Linked DNA regions of Ovis aries. The protein of the gene in region 1 interacts with the protein of each later gene in a biochemical or structural test. Links are inferred from orthologs where the notes say so. Each region holds a gene or a part of one and is shown on either strand. Other genes may lie near its edges.

Evidence for each region. The genes of interacting proteins can lie anywhere in the genome.
Region 2: the proteins of NRIP1 (region 1) and AHR form a complex in vitro, tested with the Homo sapiens proteins (2 studies listed by BioGRID). The link is inferred for Ovis aries from reciprocal best matches to the Homo sapiens genes NRIP1 and AHR.

The regions. Positions count from the first base shown.
Region 1 is NC_056054.1:142,919,611-142,926,998, forward strand, and holds the start of NRIP1 (nuclear receptor-interacting protein 1), read left to right. Parts: upstream 1-2,548; 5' UTR 2,549-2,889; exon of another isoform or gene 2,890-3,231; intron 3,232-3,508; exon of another isoform or gene 3,509-3,775; intron 3,776-7,388. UniProt on the Homo sapiens protein: Modulates transcriptional activation by steroid receptors such as NR3C1, NR3C2 and ESR1. Also modulates transcriptional repression by nuclear hormone receptors.
Region 2 is NC_056057.1:26,823,672-26,830,592, forward strand, and holds part of AHR (aryl hydrocarbon receptor), read left to right. Parts: intron 1-1,655; coding exon 1,656-2,892; intron 2,893-5,049; coding exon of another isoform or gene 5,050-5,052; exon of another isoform or gene 5,053-5,711; coding exon 5,712-5,846; 3' UTR 5,847-6,921. UniProt on the Homo sapiens protein: Ligand-activated transcription factor that enables cells to adapt to changing conditions by sensing compounds from the environment, diet, microbiome and cellular metabolism, and which plays important roles in development, immunity and cancer.

The sequences.
Region 1 (7,388 bases):
ATTGACTGGTTTGGTCTCCTAGCAGTCCAAGGGACTCTCAAGAGTCTTCTCCAGCACCACAGTTCGAAAGCATCAGTTCTTCAGCGCTCAGCCTTCTTTATGGTCCAACTCTCACATCTGTACACGACTACTCAAACGACCATAGCTTTGCCTATACAAAACTTTTCTATACTGTGAAAGTATCTTGCCCAATATCTACTGGATGCCTACCATTTGCAGAACACAGGGATAGGTGGGACATATCCAAACATGAACCAAAAAGACATGGACCCTATGCCTGTAGTGACTGCATCTAGAATGGGATACAGATAAGTAACCCAGTCACCAACTGGAGTGAAAAGTGCTATCACAGACAGGTTCAGGGAGCGCATCATAAGCATGCCTCTCCCAGACAACTTCTTTGTGGCAGATAAAAGCTCTGAGCCTGAACTATATGTATCTGATCCCACAGGAACCCTGAATTTAAAAAATAGTTGTGTGTGTAAGTATAAAAGCTCAAGAGCATCTTTTTCACATCACAATTGGTTAAAATGAGTTGACTTCAAAATACAAATTCCAGAATAGGCATTCTTCTATTACATATATGCCCCAGTATCCTTACAATGACTCTCTTAGCCAGGAAATTTAGGTATTGATTTTTTTAAAAAACAAAGTACAACAACAAAATAGCCCTAAAACAATTAGAATGATTAAAAATGAATTCCACAAAGGTGTGCAATTTACTTAACATTAATGTACTATCAAAAAGAGTTAAGGCTTTCAATGATTGGATTTCTGTGGGTTTGAGAAGATAGATGAAGAATTAAGTGAGGAGCTCTGTTAAGTTATCTAACATTTTGCAGTAGACTTTTTAACAGGAGTGTTAAAAAGGGCAGGACCTGTATTTGGCTTGTTGCATTAACTGTGTAATCTTATTTACTAGGAGGTCGTTTATCTACCAACCACAATGATCTAAAACCCAGTTAAGAAGAAAAAAGAATGATTTTAAAGCATCATTTGAGTAGTCCACATATCTGCCACAAGGTCGATGCACTAAAGTTCACCTGCCTTTCTCCTTGGTGAGCACATCAGTTCCTTACATGGCACTATTTTGTTTTACTTTAGACTGAATGGTGACAAATGAGGCTATCTGGAATCTCAGTCTGCACCAGACTAGCAGTTGCCAATCAGAAGAGGAGGATAATGTTAGAGACAGGAACCCTGGCAAAAGAGAGAAAAGATTGTTAGTTAGGGAAGGGGGAGAGAGAGCAACTATGAAAGACAGAGATGATCACTGGATCATAGTATCCTGGAGTCCTTCAGGGAGAGGACTGATGGCTTCTATTCATCCTGGGAGCATCCCTGACTCCTAGGAAGGAGCTTGATAGAGAACAGGAAATTGATGTAGTCCTTAAATTCATTATAACCTACTATCAAAATTAACTCTGAATTTTCAAGAAAAAGCCAAAAAATGGCTTAAGAAAATAGAAACATTTATAATACGTTTTCAGAAAATCTTTGTACAACAGTTTTAAAGAAAATTAGTTTGATTCCTTAAAGGGTCACACTCCAATAATGCTGCCTATCACTTAATTCAAACAGTTGGCTCTGAATCAATCCTGGATAAATGTTGTCATGCAGAACAGTGGACTTTACTAAGCTGCCTTGAACAGATTTCAAATGGTGGTAGATACAAATAATAAGCTCTCATATGAGGTTTAAATATATAAGATGGCAACAGATCGCACAGTTGAAATCACTAGGGTGATGTAAAATAATTGTTCTAAAATGCACTATCACCATGAAGAAAAATCTTCCTGCCATGTGCCCAGCACTGTGCTAGGTGCTGTATTATTAAGCATTCTTCTGAAATATCGCTTTCCCTTTTAAGACTGTGAAGGTGTTCCCGAATCCTCATTCATATTTTTAAAGGTTAAATGACATTTTACACGCACAACACAACCATTACATAACAGGCATAGAATACTGTTCTATGACTTGGATAGTTTTGTGTTTTTTTTTTAAGTGCACTAGCAACTTTATTTTAAAATGCTGTCGAATCCTTAAGGATCTGAAAACCTACACATAGGAATGGAGTGTCTTATCCACTCACTTGTTTTGTGTAATAAGTGTTTAAACACAGGCATGCCATTTCGGAGTTTACAGTGAGCCTAAGCTGTACTTCAGCGTTTTTGCAGCAAGCAAAAACAATTTCTGCAACGGTCCTCATTTCCCCTGGCAATTTTTTTTTTTTTCTTTTTCTTTTTCATGGCGAGTTACTAAATGCTAGATGCTAGAGTCAAAAAGAAACCTGACATCTGGGGAGGTGTTGCGGGGGTGTTAATAGTTCTAGCTTGATGTTTGGGGAGAGCCTTGAGGATAAGATTTTAAAACAGCAAATACACGGAGAAGGGGGAAATGATGGTTTCGGATGACTCTCTCCTCCCTCCACTTTCTCTCTTCACCAATCCGTATCCCCCCCAATTTAGAGGCGGGTTCAGGGAGATCAGGCTGCAGGAAACCAGGAGGCTCTCCGGGGCTGCCGCCCCGGCCTCGTGATGTAATTGTTATTTCTTACTCGGAGCCTGAACCGGCGGAGAGCTGCCCGAGAAGTGGCAGCTGGGTGCCTTCTGCCTTGTCTTGGAGGGTCAGGTTCGGTCCGAGGACGGTGTCGATTCGAGGAACGGCTCCGCTGGAGACTTCGCAGTGACAAAGCAGCAGAAGATAAACCCTGCTCCCGTCCGAGGAGCTGAACCCGGCGCTCCTCAGGTCTCCTTCCCAGTTTTCTTCTCGGACTCACCCGCCGATTATCCCTGGGTGCCTTCTACGTGCAGGGCGCGGGATCAGAGGGACCCGCAGTTAGCCCCCCCCACCCCCGGCCAGACTAAAGCAAGACACACAGATTACAAGGTGGTGGAAGTTGGGGGGGGTGGGCGAGAGGGAGCCCAGGAGACACGGGTCGTGGGGTGAAGTGGGAGGAGAAGGAAGCCTAAGATGCCGGCACCCAGGAAGGGACCCGGGGCGTCCCGACCCCCAGGCTGAGCCCCCTTCGCGGGCTTTTGGCCTGGGTCACGAGAGTGGTCCCCACCCCCCCGGGAGCCCCAGGAGGAGCTGTCCCGGCGCCTTCGGCGGCGGTGGGGGCTGCTGGACAGAGCTGGGAGCCGCGGGGAAGGGCTCGGGGCGCCTGGAGCACCCACCTCTCCCGGCCGCCGCGCTCTTCCAGCTGCCTCGGGGCGCCCGCAGCCCCCGCCCGGCCGGCCGGAGGGCGGGCGAGGAGGAAAACCAGCCAACCGAGGGGGCCCCGCAGTTCCCGCGAGCCTCCGGGACCCGAGCGCGTGCCTGCCGCCCCGGTGACAATGGAAGAGAGGGGGAAAAAAGGGTTAAGAAACTTGGCTGAAGAGCTGAATGGCGTGGAGCGGCGAGGGGAGGGACTGGGCCGCGGCCGCCTCGGCGGCGGAGGGAGGAGCGCGGCTGCGGGCGGGCGGGCGGGCAGGCAGGCGGCGAGCGAGGCGCTCAAAGTCAGCCTCGCAGACATTGCAGCAGAGCCCCGAACTCGGGAGGCGGCGGCGGCGGCGGAGGAGGAGGCGGCGCGGCGGCGGCGGCCGAGGCGGAGGGACGACCCGGCCCCGCGCTCGCCCGCGCGCCCGCCCGTGGCCTCGCGGCGGCCGCTGCGCCCGGCAGCGCTGCCGATCGCAGGGAAGAGCTCGCCGGGGCGCCGAGGGAGGACGGGGCGGCGGGGCGCCTTCGCGGAGTGAGCTGGCCGGAGCCCCGGCGCTCGGAGCTGCGGCGGCCTCGGGTGAGTGGCGGCCGCGGCCGGGGGGCTCGGACGAGCGGCCGCCGCCGCCGGAAATGGCCGGGAGCGCGGCCCGCGGCGGCGTTGGCTTGGCGTTGGCGGGCAGGGCCTCGGGGGGCGTCGGGGCGGCGGGGGGCCCGCGCTGCGGGGCGGCGGGAGCGGACGCGGACGGCGGGGTGAGCTCGGCGGAGGGGGACGGCTTCCGGGCAAATCCCGCCTCTCCTGCCGGCTCCGAACCTGCCCGGGAACTCGGGGGGCCCGGGCAGCGGGGCCGGCAAGTTGTGGAGTTGGCCCGGGGGCTCACCGGCGCGTTCTTGGCCGTCCTGGGCCGGGGACGGGAGGGCGGCCGCCGTGTTGCCCCGGACCCGGGCCGGGGTCGCGCCCCCGCTCGGCTGTCCTCCTCGGCCCGGAGCCCCGGGCGCTTCTCGTCGCGCCGTTCTCAGTCCTGCTGCCCCGGGCGTCCTGGGCGGCGCCGGGCGCAGCTCCCCCCGCCTCTCGCCCGGGTGCCTCCCTGCTCTGAGCTGGCCGGATCCCGGACTGGGGAAAGTGGGTAGGCAAGGGGACCGCGCTCCCGGCCCCTAGCCGACCCTCGGGTCCAGCCAGGCCCGTTGGTACGTGTCCTTCCCCTCCCGAGGGCGAGGCCCCTGGGACCCGAGGCCTCAACCATCACTTTTCTCCGGAGCCAGAAAACCGGGCTCACCTCTAGAGTGAACCCCGTGCAGGTCCTGGGAGGCTTCGTTTTTCTCTCCTACATCTATGTGTCCTCTTCTACTACTAGCGGATATTGTCTTATGAAGGGTTTCCCGGGAAATATTCTGCAAACCGTCACAACCCTTCCAAAGTAGTTTTCCAAATTTTAATCAAGAGTTGCTGTTCCGTCTGGAGGAACAAAGGAATCAACTATGTCTTAGAGGCGAACAGTCTGCGAGTCTGTGACACATGTTGATCTCTGAAGTATTATAGGAGTTTTTACCTTCTATCTCGTTATTGAATTGAGTTTTGAAGATAGTAGACGGACAACAGAAGTACTTTTGTGTTTAAAAAAAAAATTTCAATAAGGCGTTTTTATGTTGAAAAAGAAGTAATACGTTCTTAGCCACAGGGACTTTTCACTCAGTTGGTGGAACTGAGTTGGAGTTTGTCTCCGGTAATATAAATGATTAAATGTGAAATTGTGCGGGGCGGGGGAGGGGTTGGGGAGGGGGTACTGTTCTTAGAGGAACAGAGTCCATAGGATGAAAGTGAAAAATGGTTGTGGAGTTACAGATGATGGTTGTTTTTTACGTTTGGTGAGGGAGTGATTTGTGAAGCAGAGGGCTCTGGTAATTCATTCTTTAAAGTTATGAATTGCATTGAACCTGCTTATTAGAGAATCATGACTTTAGCAAGTGGGTGGCATCTTCCCGATGTGATTCTTCAATGCTTAATCACTAGTTTGCCACCTTTGTTGTTGAAGACACAGTGAGATAAGTGGACTTTTTAAACAAATGGTGCTTCCTCTGCCTGGCACCAAAGTGTGGGTTGCTGCCTGGAGTATGTTGAAATGTTTTCAGCTTTGAAGTAAGTTGCTCTGGTTTTGCCCAGCGTTTTGGTAATGTGGTTTGGGTTTAACTGGTTTCAGAGAGTAGTGGCTTCATCACTAGTGCTAACTTTTCTCTGCTTGAAATTAGTTCCTAAAGACAAAGAAGATTCCAGCAGTGGAACAGCCATTATCCTGCGGGCTGCAGGATTATTACTTTAGTCTGTTTCCTACACTCTGGTGGGGAAAGACCTCTTTCCACACTTACGCCTTGAAACTGCCCTAGGAGCATGAGTAAAATACTTACAAAAAAACAAACAAAAAGGACTCCTCATTGTTGGTTTTACTCCAGTGCGCTCTCTACAGTGCCTTTGAGGTAGTTGAAAACCAGGTTTAATGCTTGGACCACTTCCTGTGTGGGTCTCCAAACTTTTACTAATTGTCCACCCTAAAACTGTATAAGTTTGCAGTAAAAAGACATGAGTAAAAGAGGCTGAAGGCTCCTCTGACTCTTGCAGTTTTTTTAAGAGCAAAACATCATGATAAAAAATAACCTATACCACCACCTAGAGTCTGTTTGTTAGTTTATTGCTCCTGAAGTTTGCTTCAGTGGACATGCCTCTTGTGGTTCTGATACAGCCAAAGAATTATTAAGAAATGCTAACTTTCAAAAGGCCATCCAAGAGAATGATTATTTGCGTGGTAAATAGCAGGTGCCAGTTTAAATTACGCATGCTACCTTTACAATAGAAAATGATGACATACCGGGTTAAGTGGGCTATTCACCAAAAGATATTAATTCAAAAGACTTTAAGAAATTTTGTGTCTGTGCTTTAGGTAGTTCTAATTGCTTAAAGACTCTCTGCATTGTTACCAGAGATTCAAGACCTCTTACAATTTAATACCATTAGGACTTCCTTGAGGTCCAAGTGAAACAAAAGCAATGATCAAATAAAAATATAAGGGAGCATCAGAACTCCAGAAATTCTGGGAACTTTAAAGGTAAGAGAGAAGGTAGGCTATAGTAAAGTTGCAGTTCAGAGATGTGAAAAGTAGCATCACTATGAAATCAAGTGGCAATCTGTCCTGCTGGTAGTTTTTACATAGTGAAATAATCTGTTAAATGGGAGGATGGGAGACCTTAAGAAGATAGCTCTGTTGCCATGTGGTTTAGTACATTGTCCAGGGAGGAAGTAACATTCCTTCTTTAAACAGTGTAACCCGAGAGAAAGATGGCCTCCAAGATCTTTAATTAAATACCAGTTGAACAGAGAAAACTAGAGCACTGTATTAATTCTGTCAAACATCACTATTTTAGAACATCGAGGACAACTAAAAATGAATTAACTCATATCCGAAAGCAGAGTTTTATGGAAGGTGACAGATGAGGCAAAATATGTCAGTCTAATGGCGCAAATAGGGAGATAAGGAGATATGTCATTCTCGGCTCCCTAAAAAGATGAGGAGGAGGAAGGTTATTGTTAATTGTACAGATTCCATTGCAAACCGAAACTGGAAGACGGCACCAAAGTAGGTTTAAATTAGAGTGGCTTAGGATATATGATGTTAAAGGGATTAGGTTTTAAAACTTGACAATTGTTAAGAAACTTAAAAGGTCATTTTTAAGTGTTCTGAAAGAGCAATGATAGCTTTGTGAATCAGGTTTAAAAAATAACTCTGCCCCACATAGGTTCGAAGCAGCTCATTTTTATCAAGAAAAAAGTTGTTCTCTTTAAATTGTGATAGGCTGAGTTTTGCTTTTCAAACTTTAGATTCCCAGATACAGTCAGGTTTTAAAGTGTAGGTGGAAGCATTCCAGTTGGTCTTCACCCCTCCTCCTTCTCTCCTTACTGCTTTCCTGCTCTCGTCACCTTCTTTAAAATGAGTAGCTTCTACATCTGTGGGTGTTTTCTCCCATTAATTTTGCCTTCATTTGTAGCTTTGCTTCTTGGCTGTGTTGGCATGAAGGTTCTTGACACTTGTGTTCTTTCCAGATGCCCCTTCACGTGGCTGACGCACAATGAGGGTGGGTTCTGTTTTGGTTTGGTTTCATAGTGGTTTAGTGTTCCGTGGGTGCAGACTGGGGAGAAAAGCATT
Region 2 (6,921 bases), on another chromosome or scaffold:
TGTGCATATATATATATATATATATATATATATATAAAAATATATAGAAATAGTTGAGTTTTTAATATTGGTGTTTTATATCTAGTGACCTTCATCTCACTTATTAATTCTAATAAGGTATCTGTAGACATTTTTCTAAGGTTTTCTTATATGTCCTATGTTGTTTGCAAATAATTTTTTTCTTTTAACCTTTAGACTTCGTTTTGTTCTTTTTTTTAAGTTCTTCCATTGTAGAATGCAATGGAAATAATGATAATTCATTTTGGTCTTAATCCCAACTTTAAGGGAGAAAGACTTCAAATACTTGATCATTTCATATGATATTTGTAAGTAGTCTTCTGTTATTTTTGTAAATACTGGGTTTATTGTTTCAGGTTTAAAAGCATCCCTTTCTTCAGTTTACCAGAAGAATATCATCGTCATGAGTGGTTGTTGAATTTTTACACCAAATACTTACTTCGCATTCATCAACATCATGATTTTTCTCCTTTATGCTCTTATTTTCTTTCTGTTCTATAAGTTCTGTACTCATATAATTTTAAGACATATTTTCTGGTATTAGGAATTTGTGCCCTGTCTTCGTCACTATTCCTCGAAGGCCGTTAATTTTATCATCCTTCTCAAGGAGTCAGCTTTTGTTTTATTGATTTTTCTCCTGTTATACATTTGTTACCCAGTTATGTCTGTTCAGTATTATTTCCTTCCTTCTACTCTTCTTGGGTATAATTTGAATTTCTTTCCATCTTTTTCTTTTTTAATGTATTTGGTTAAGGTATTAGTTTTTCTTTTAAGTATGATTTTAACTACAGTCCTTTGTCTTTATCATTCAGTTGAAAATATGTGCTAGTATTTGACTTGTTTATTCAGGAATTATTTAGAAACATAGTGTTATGTACTGTTCAATACTAGGGGATTTTCTAGTTGTCTGTTTGTTACTTGACTTTAATTCCACTGAGGTTAGACAATAGACTGAAGGAATTCAGTCCTTTGAAATTTGTTGTGGCTTATTTTATAATCCAGTGTATGGTCAGTGTTGATAAAATCTCCTACAAACTCTTATCAAGACTACACGTTCCCTTGTATGTACAGTATTCTTTACGTATCAGTGGTCTGGTTTGTTTTGTTCACGTTTTTATACATTTGCTATTTTTGTTTGCTTGTTCTATTAGTTATAAAGAGGTTGTTAGACCTATTTGGAGCTCTTTACGTAATACCAGCATTAAATTTTACACATATACACACTATATAGTATATATGAAACTATGACATTTATTCCATGCCTTAACCTAACTTACGATTGTTTTCCCATGCAAAACATTTTAATTTTCATATGTCAATCTTCCTTTAGAGCTTTATATTTCAGCATGCCTCACTGGTATATTTGGATCTGTGTTCCATTCAGAATTTGTTTTTTCAGGTAGGGATGGAATCTGAGAGTGAAATTAAATTTTTGGACAAAGTCTATCCAAAGTTCTGTAAACAGTTTTAATTACTTGTCATCAGAAAGATTTCTCTCAAATTTATGTTCACCTCTAGCAAATTTAACTACTATGTATTTTGTGTGCTAGTTTTTCTTTTTTAAAATTTCTTATTTTGGAAATGTTTAGGATACGGCTTTTTCTAATACGTGCAAACTTTCTTGTGCCCAATTGTAGCGATGAAGAAGGAATGGAGCACTTAAACAAACGCAACATGAAGTTGCCATTTATGTTTACCACTGGAGACGCCGTTCTATATGAGATAAGCAGCCCCTTTCCTTCCATAATGGATCCCTTACCAATAAAGACTAAAAATGGTGCTGGTGGAAAAGACACACCAACTCTAAGTAAGGATTCCCTCAACCCCAGTTCCCTCCTGAATGCCATGATGCAACAAGACGAGGCTATTTACCTCTATCCTGCCTCAACTAGTGCACCTTTTGAAAGGAATTTTTTCAGTGACTCTCTGAATGAGTGCAGTAACTGGCGAAACAGTGTTGTGCCTATGGGGAGTGACAGTATCCTGAAACATGAGCAGATCAGCCAGTCTCAGGACATGAACCCAACTCTCCCTGGAGATCATGCCGGGCTCTTTACAGATAACAGAAACAGTGACTTGTACAGCATTATGAAACACCTAGGCATTGATTTTGAAGACATCCAACACATGCAACAGAATGAGGAATTTTTCAGAACTGACTTTTCCGGTGAAGATGACTTCAGAGATATTGACTTAACAGATGAAATTCTGACCTACGTTGAAGACTCTTTAAATAAGCCTACCTTCGGGTGTTCAGGGTACCCTCAGCAGCCAGCCGTGGCTCTGAACCCTAGCTGTATGGTCCAGGAGCAGCTCCAGTTAGACCAGCAGCAGCTGCAGCCCCATCAGATGCACACAGCAGTGGAACAGCAGCAACAACTGTGTCAGAAAATGAAGCATATGCAAGTTAACAACATGTTTGCAAACTGGAACTCTAACCAATCTGTGCCTTTGAATTGTCCTCAGCAAGACCTCCAGCAGTACAATGTCTTTGCAGACTTACCCGGGACTAGTCAAGAGTTTCCCTACAAACCTGAGCTTGATCCTATGCCTTACCCCCAGAACTTGATACCCTGTAGTCAGCCTGGGTTGCCACCACAACCTCAGGGTACACAGTTAGACTTTCCCATGGGTAATTTTGAACCAGCCCCGTACCCTACTACTGCTTCTAATTTAGAAGATTTTGTCTCATGTTTACAAGTTCCTGAAAACCAACAGCATGGACTCAATCCACAGTCGGCCATGGTAGCTCCTCAGACATGTTACGCTGGGGCTGTTTCAATGTACCAGTGCCAGCCAGACCCTCAGCACAGCCAGCTGGCTCAGATGCCGTACAACCCAACCACGCCGGGCTCACAGGCATTTGTAAACAAGGTAAGGGTATTCTCAAACTGAGTAAGTCCTTTCAAATGCCTCTTCATAAATTATAAACAGATGTAAATTATGAGTTTTCTGTCAGTGACTGATTTTAACATTTTATCTGTAGCATGTATGGGAGAACATTTCTAATTTTATTTGTGACTATTTTGTGTAAGCTGGTACCTTTACATTACTAATACAAGTATATCATTTAAAAGAAATCAAGGACGAAAGCAGTATGAATACATCCATAAGTTAAAAGTAAAATTACCAAGTAAAATTAGTTAAAAGTACACTGTTTAGAATAATGTTGATTTTATTTTTAAATCTGACCTTTTAAACATGCTGACTTAGAAAGCTTTAAGGTTTTAAAAATAGCTTTTTCAAAGCTCTTTTTTTGTTGTTGTTGACATAGTTGATTTACATTTTCAGGTATATAACACAGTGACTCAGTATTTTTATAGATTATACTCATTATTATTAAATGTTGACTCTTTTCCTGTTGAAATTGGGTTAAAACCAGTATCAATGTGCTTCCTTCAAATACTTTTGTCCTAGGTGATCTCTGTTAAAAGTCCTAGGCTCCTCTGTGTTCTATCTTCATTTTATCCTTCAAGGTAAAATAGTTTTTTCCCTGGTATCTGAAGAAAAATAAGAAAGGTAACTTTTCTGGCTTTCTATCACGAGACTCAAGCTGGATGTTTTTAAATGTGTCATTCAGACCCTTCTACCAACATGGTAACTTAAAGTACTTCCTAATGATCGCTGCTCTTCGTGACCACCCAGGAATCTCTTATGCTTGCCTTTATGCTTTTCCATTAGAAAATATTGAGTTAATGTTGTGTATTTTAGTCATGAAGCAAATCCCAATAAGACTGTAATAATAGTTTATAAATGTCATTTGCAGCTTTCGCATTGTTTTTTCCTGATCTTCTTTATACACTTGGTTTGTTTGATTACATATGAGTTTTTCCCTAGAAAAAACTGTGAAAAAATTTCTTATCCTCATTCCTGACATTGTTCAGTTATAATAAAATTTAACAATGAGTTACAATCTATCTCACAACATTGCTGCAGAATAAGCACAGGTAGGTAACTTGTAAACTGTAGAGAAGTGAATTATATAAAATTATATTCTGAAGAGGGCCTGCATTAGCACCAGCTCCTTACAGTGTTTTCTTTCCCACTGTTTTGTGTTACTTCCTTATGAATAGTAAGAATTCTGGACCTACATATTCCCCCAAGGAGTTATTGGACTTCCCTGGTGGCTCAGACAGTAAAGAATCCGCCTGCAATGCAGCAGACCTGGGTTCAGTCCCTGGGTTGGGAAGATCTCCTGGAGAAGGGAATGGCTAGCTACTCCAGTATTCTGGCCTGGAGAGTTCCATGAACAGAGGAGCCTAGAGGGTTACAGTCCATGGGGTCGCAAAGACTTGGAAATGACTGAGCACCTTTAAAAAAAAAAAGTTATTAAATCTAAAAAAAATTGGAACTCCATTTGTGGCTCACATTGTATTTCTGTTGACTAGCACTGCTCTAGACAAGTCTTTTTTCAGGTGGCGCTAGTGGTAAGAACCCACCTGCCAATGCAGGAGACATAAGAGACACAGGTTCGATCCCTGGGTTGGAAATATACCCTGAAGGAGGAAATGGCAGCCCACTCCGGTATTCTTGCCTGGGAAATCCCATGGACAGAGGAGCCTGGCGGGCTACAGTCCATAGGATCCCAAAGGATAGGACACGACTGAAGTGACTTAGCACACAGTCTCTTTAAAGACAATTGCTGATGTGCATTGTATTGAGTGATGAAAGTAATTTATCCAAAACCTACCTTTTAGTGGGCGATTATTACCTTCCCTTTGAAAACTTGACAACGTTTAGAAGGACTGAAACCTAATGTTACATAGGCTTTAGAAAGGTAAATTTCATTTGAAGCAATTAAAGGTATGATTATAATCCATTACTTTCACTAATTATACTAAGATTCAAAAGTTCTTTAATCTATAAGAACCTGTAGAACTATGGAATTATTCAGGTCAATCGCTCACTCATGTCCAACTCTTTGCAACCCCATGGACTGCAGCACGCCAGGATTCCCTGTCCATCACCAACTAATTATTATTCCACAGAACTGTGTGTCTCAAGGTCCTCCCCTCCCTCCTTTTTTTCCAGTAGCACTTATGGAAATGAGACTAAATTTCATTGTTAAAAGGTAAGAGCAAGCATTTTACTTTGGTAATTTTTATTTCCATAATTAGGACAATAAGTTTAGTAGTACTTTGAAAGCATATTATGAATAAAATTGGTTATAGAAATCATACCCATGGTATATAGTATATAAGGCATATTAAGAAACCTCTCGCAAATCATAACTTGCTGCTTTTCAGAAAGTTCTGGGTTATCTGTAGTCCAATGTGGTGATCTTGAATGTAGTTAGTTTATTGGTACCTAAAACTTACTGAGATACAATCTGGTCAAAGCAGACTTATGACGGAGAATAGTACCTGTGGTTCGTGGCTAGTACCTTCTGATCCAGTGGCTCCTGCCCAAACCAAAGGCATTTCATTGATCAGATAGTCAATGGATCGCCACATCTAAAGTGAGACAATGATATCACTCACCTATACTATCTAATGGAGAAACTGAAAGATTCTAAGTGCAACTAATACATGTGTTCAATACAACTTCACTGAATGAGTTAAAATAGCAGTAAAGGAGTTTGAAGTTTAACAAGAACAACTTGGAGGATAAAGATTTTAGAACTACATTTCACATACCTGATGGTTTAATATATATGAAGGATCTGTTCTAATAAGTTGTGTTGCTGTTTGCAGTTTCAGAACGGAGCAATTTTAAATGAAACGTATCCAGCTGAATTAAACAGCATGAGTAACACTCAGCCTGCCACCCATCTTCACCCATCAGAAGCCAGAACTTACCCTGATTTGACATCCGGTGGATTCCTGTAATTCCAAGCCCACTCCTCACCTTGGTTTTTGAGTAGTTTGTGAAGCATCACAGAGTAATAAGACTGTCCTTGTTGGATGTCAGCAAGTTCACATGGAGGCATTGATGTACGTGTTATTTTCACTGTTATAAAAACATTAAAATCTGGTTTGTAATAAGAGGAGTTATTCACCTATACTACCATCATTAGAATAGTATGCTGTCACAGAGGAGTGAAATACCATCTACAGTTTACAGTATTCTGAAATAATACCACAGAATATACAGAACCTTTTCAGGGAGATATTTTGACAGTTTTAAATATGAAAATTTTTTCTCTGGTGGAATTACTTCCATCAGATTGAAATAAAATACTTTGTGTTTTGAACTTGTAGATTATTAGTGTACCAAATATGAACTATTTCCTTTTACTCTTAGCTTCTGCTTTTATCTCAGAGGTTAAAACAAATGGTTTGGTGCTTGTATAAAAAGATAATCTCAGTATGCTCCTCCCTCCTTGGTAATGTAAGTGCCTCACACTTTTTTCTACCTATAACACTGTAGGGAGTATATTTTATGTAAAATATATATTTACATAAAATATACTTTTTCTTTTTAAAATTAATAACATTCTGCACACAAATATTATTGGTATTTCTTAAATTCAGTCATTTTTATTAATCTAGGCATGTTTCAACTGCACTACTCACCCACTTTCTTCAGGTAAAGAGCAAATAATGGTTGAAAAGAGAAATATTTATTACTTACTCTAGTTGTTTCTAGATTTTAATGTTGCCGTGTGCCTTACGTTGAAAAATTTTGGAAGTGGAAATATCTTCCTAAATTTTTTTTTAGTTATTGTAAGAGAGCAGCACTAAAATTTCAAGAGTTTTCAGAAGTAAGAGATATATCACCATTTAGCTTTACTAAAATCTCCACCTTAATAGTTGAATGTTGCCCTGTAAAGAATCTGCTGTTAAATGCAACCCTGAGTATTAACTTAAAATGAAGAGAAGCAGCTTTATTTTTAGCTCTTTAATAAGTACAGCACCCATTTCAATATGTATAAATTCTTTAAAAACTGTTTTAGACCTGTAA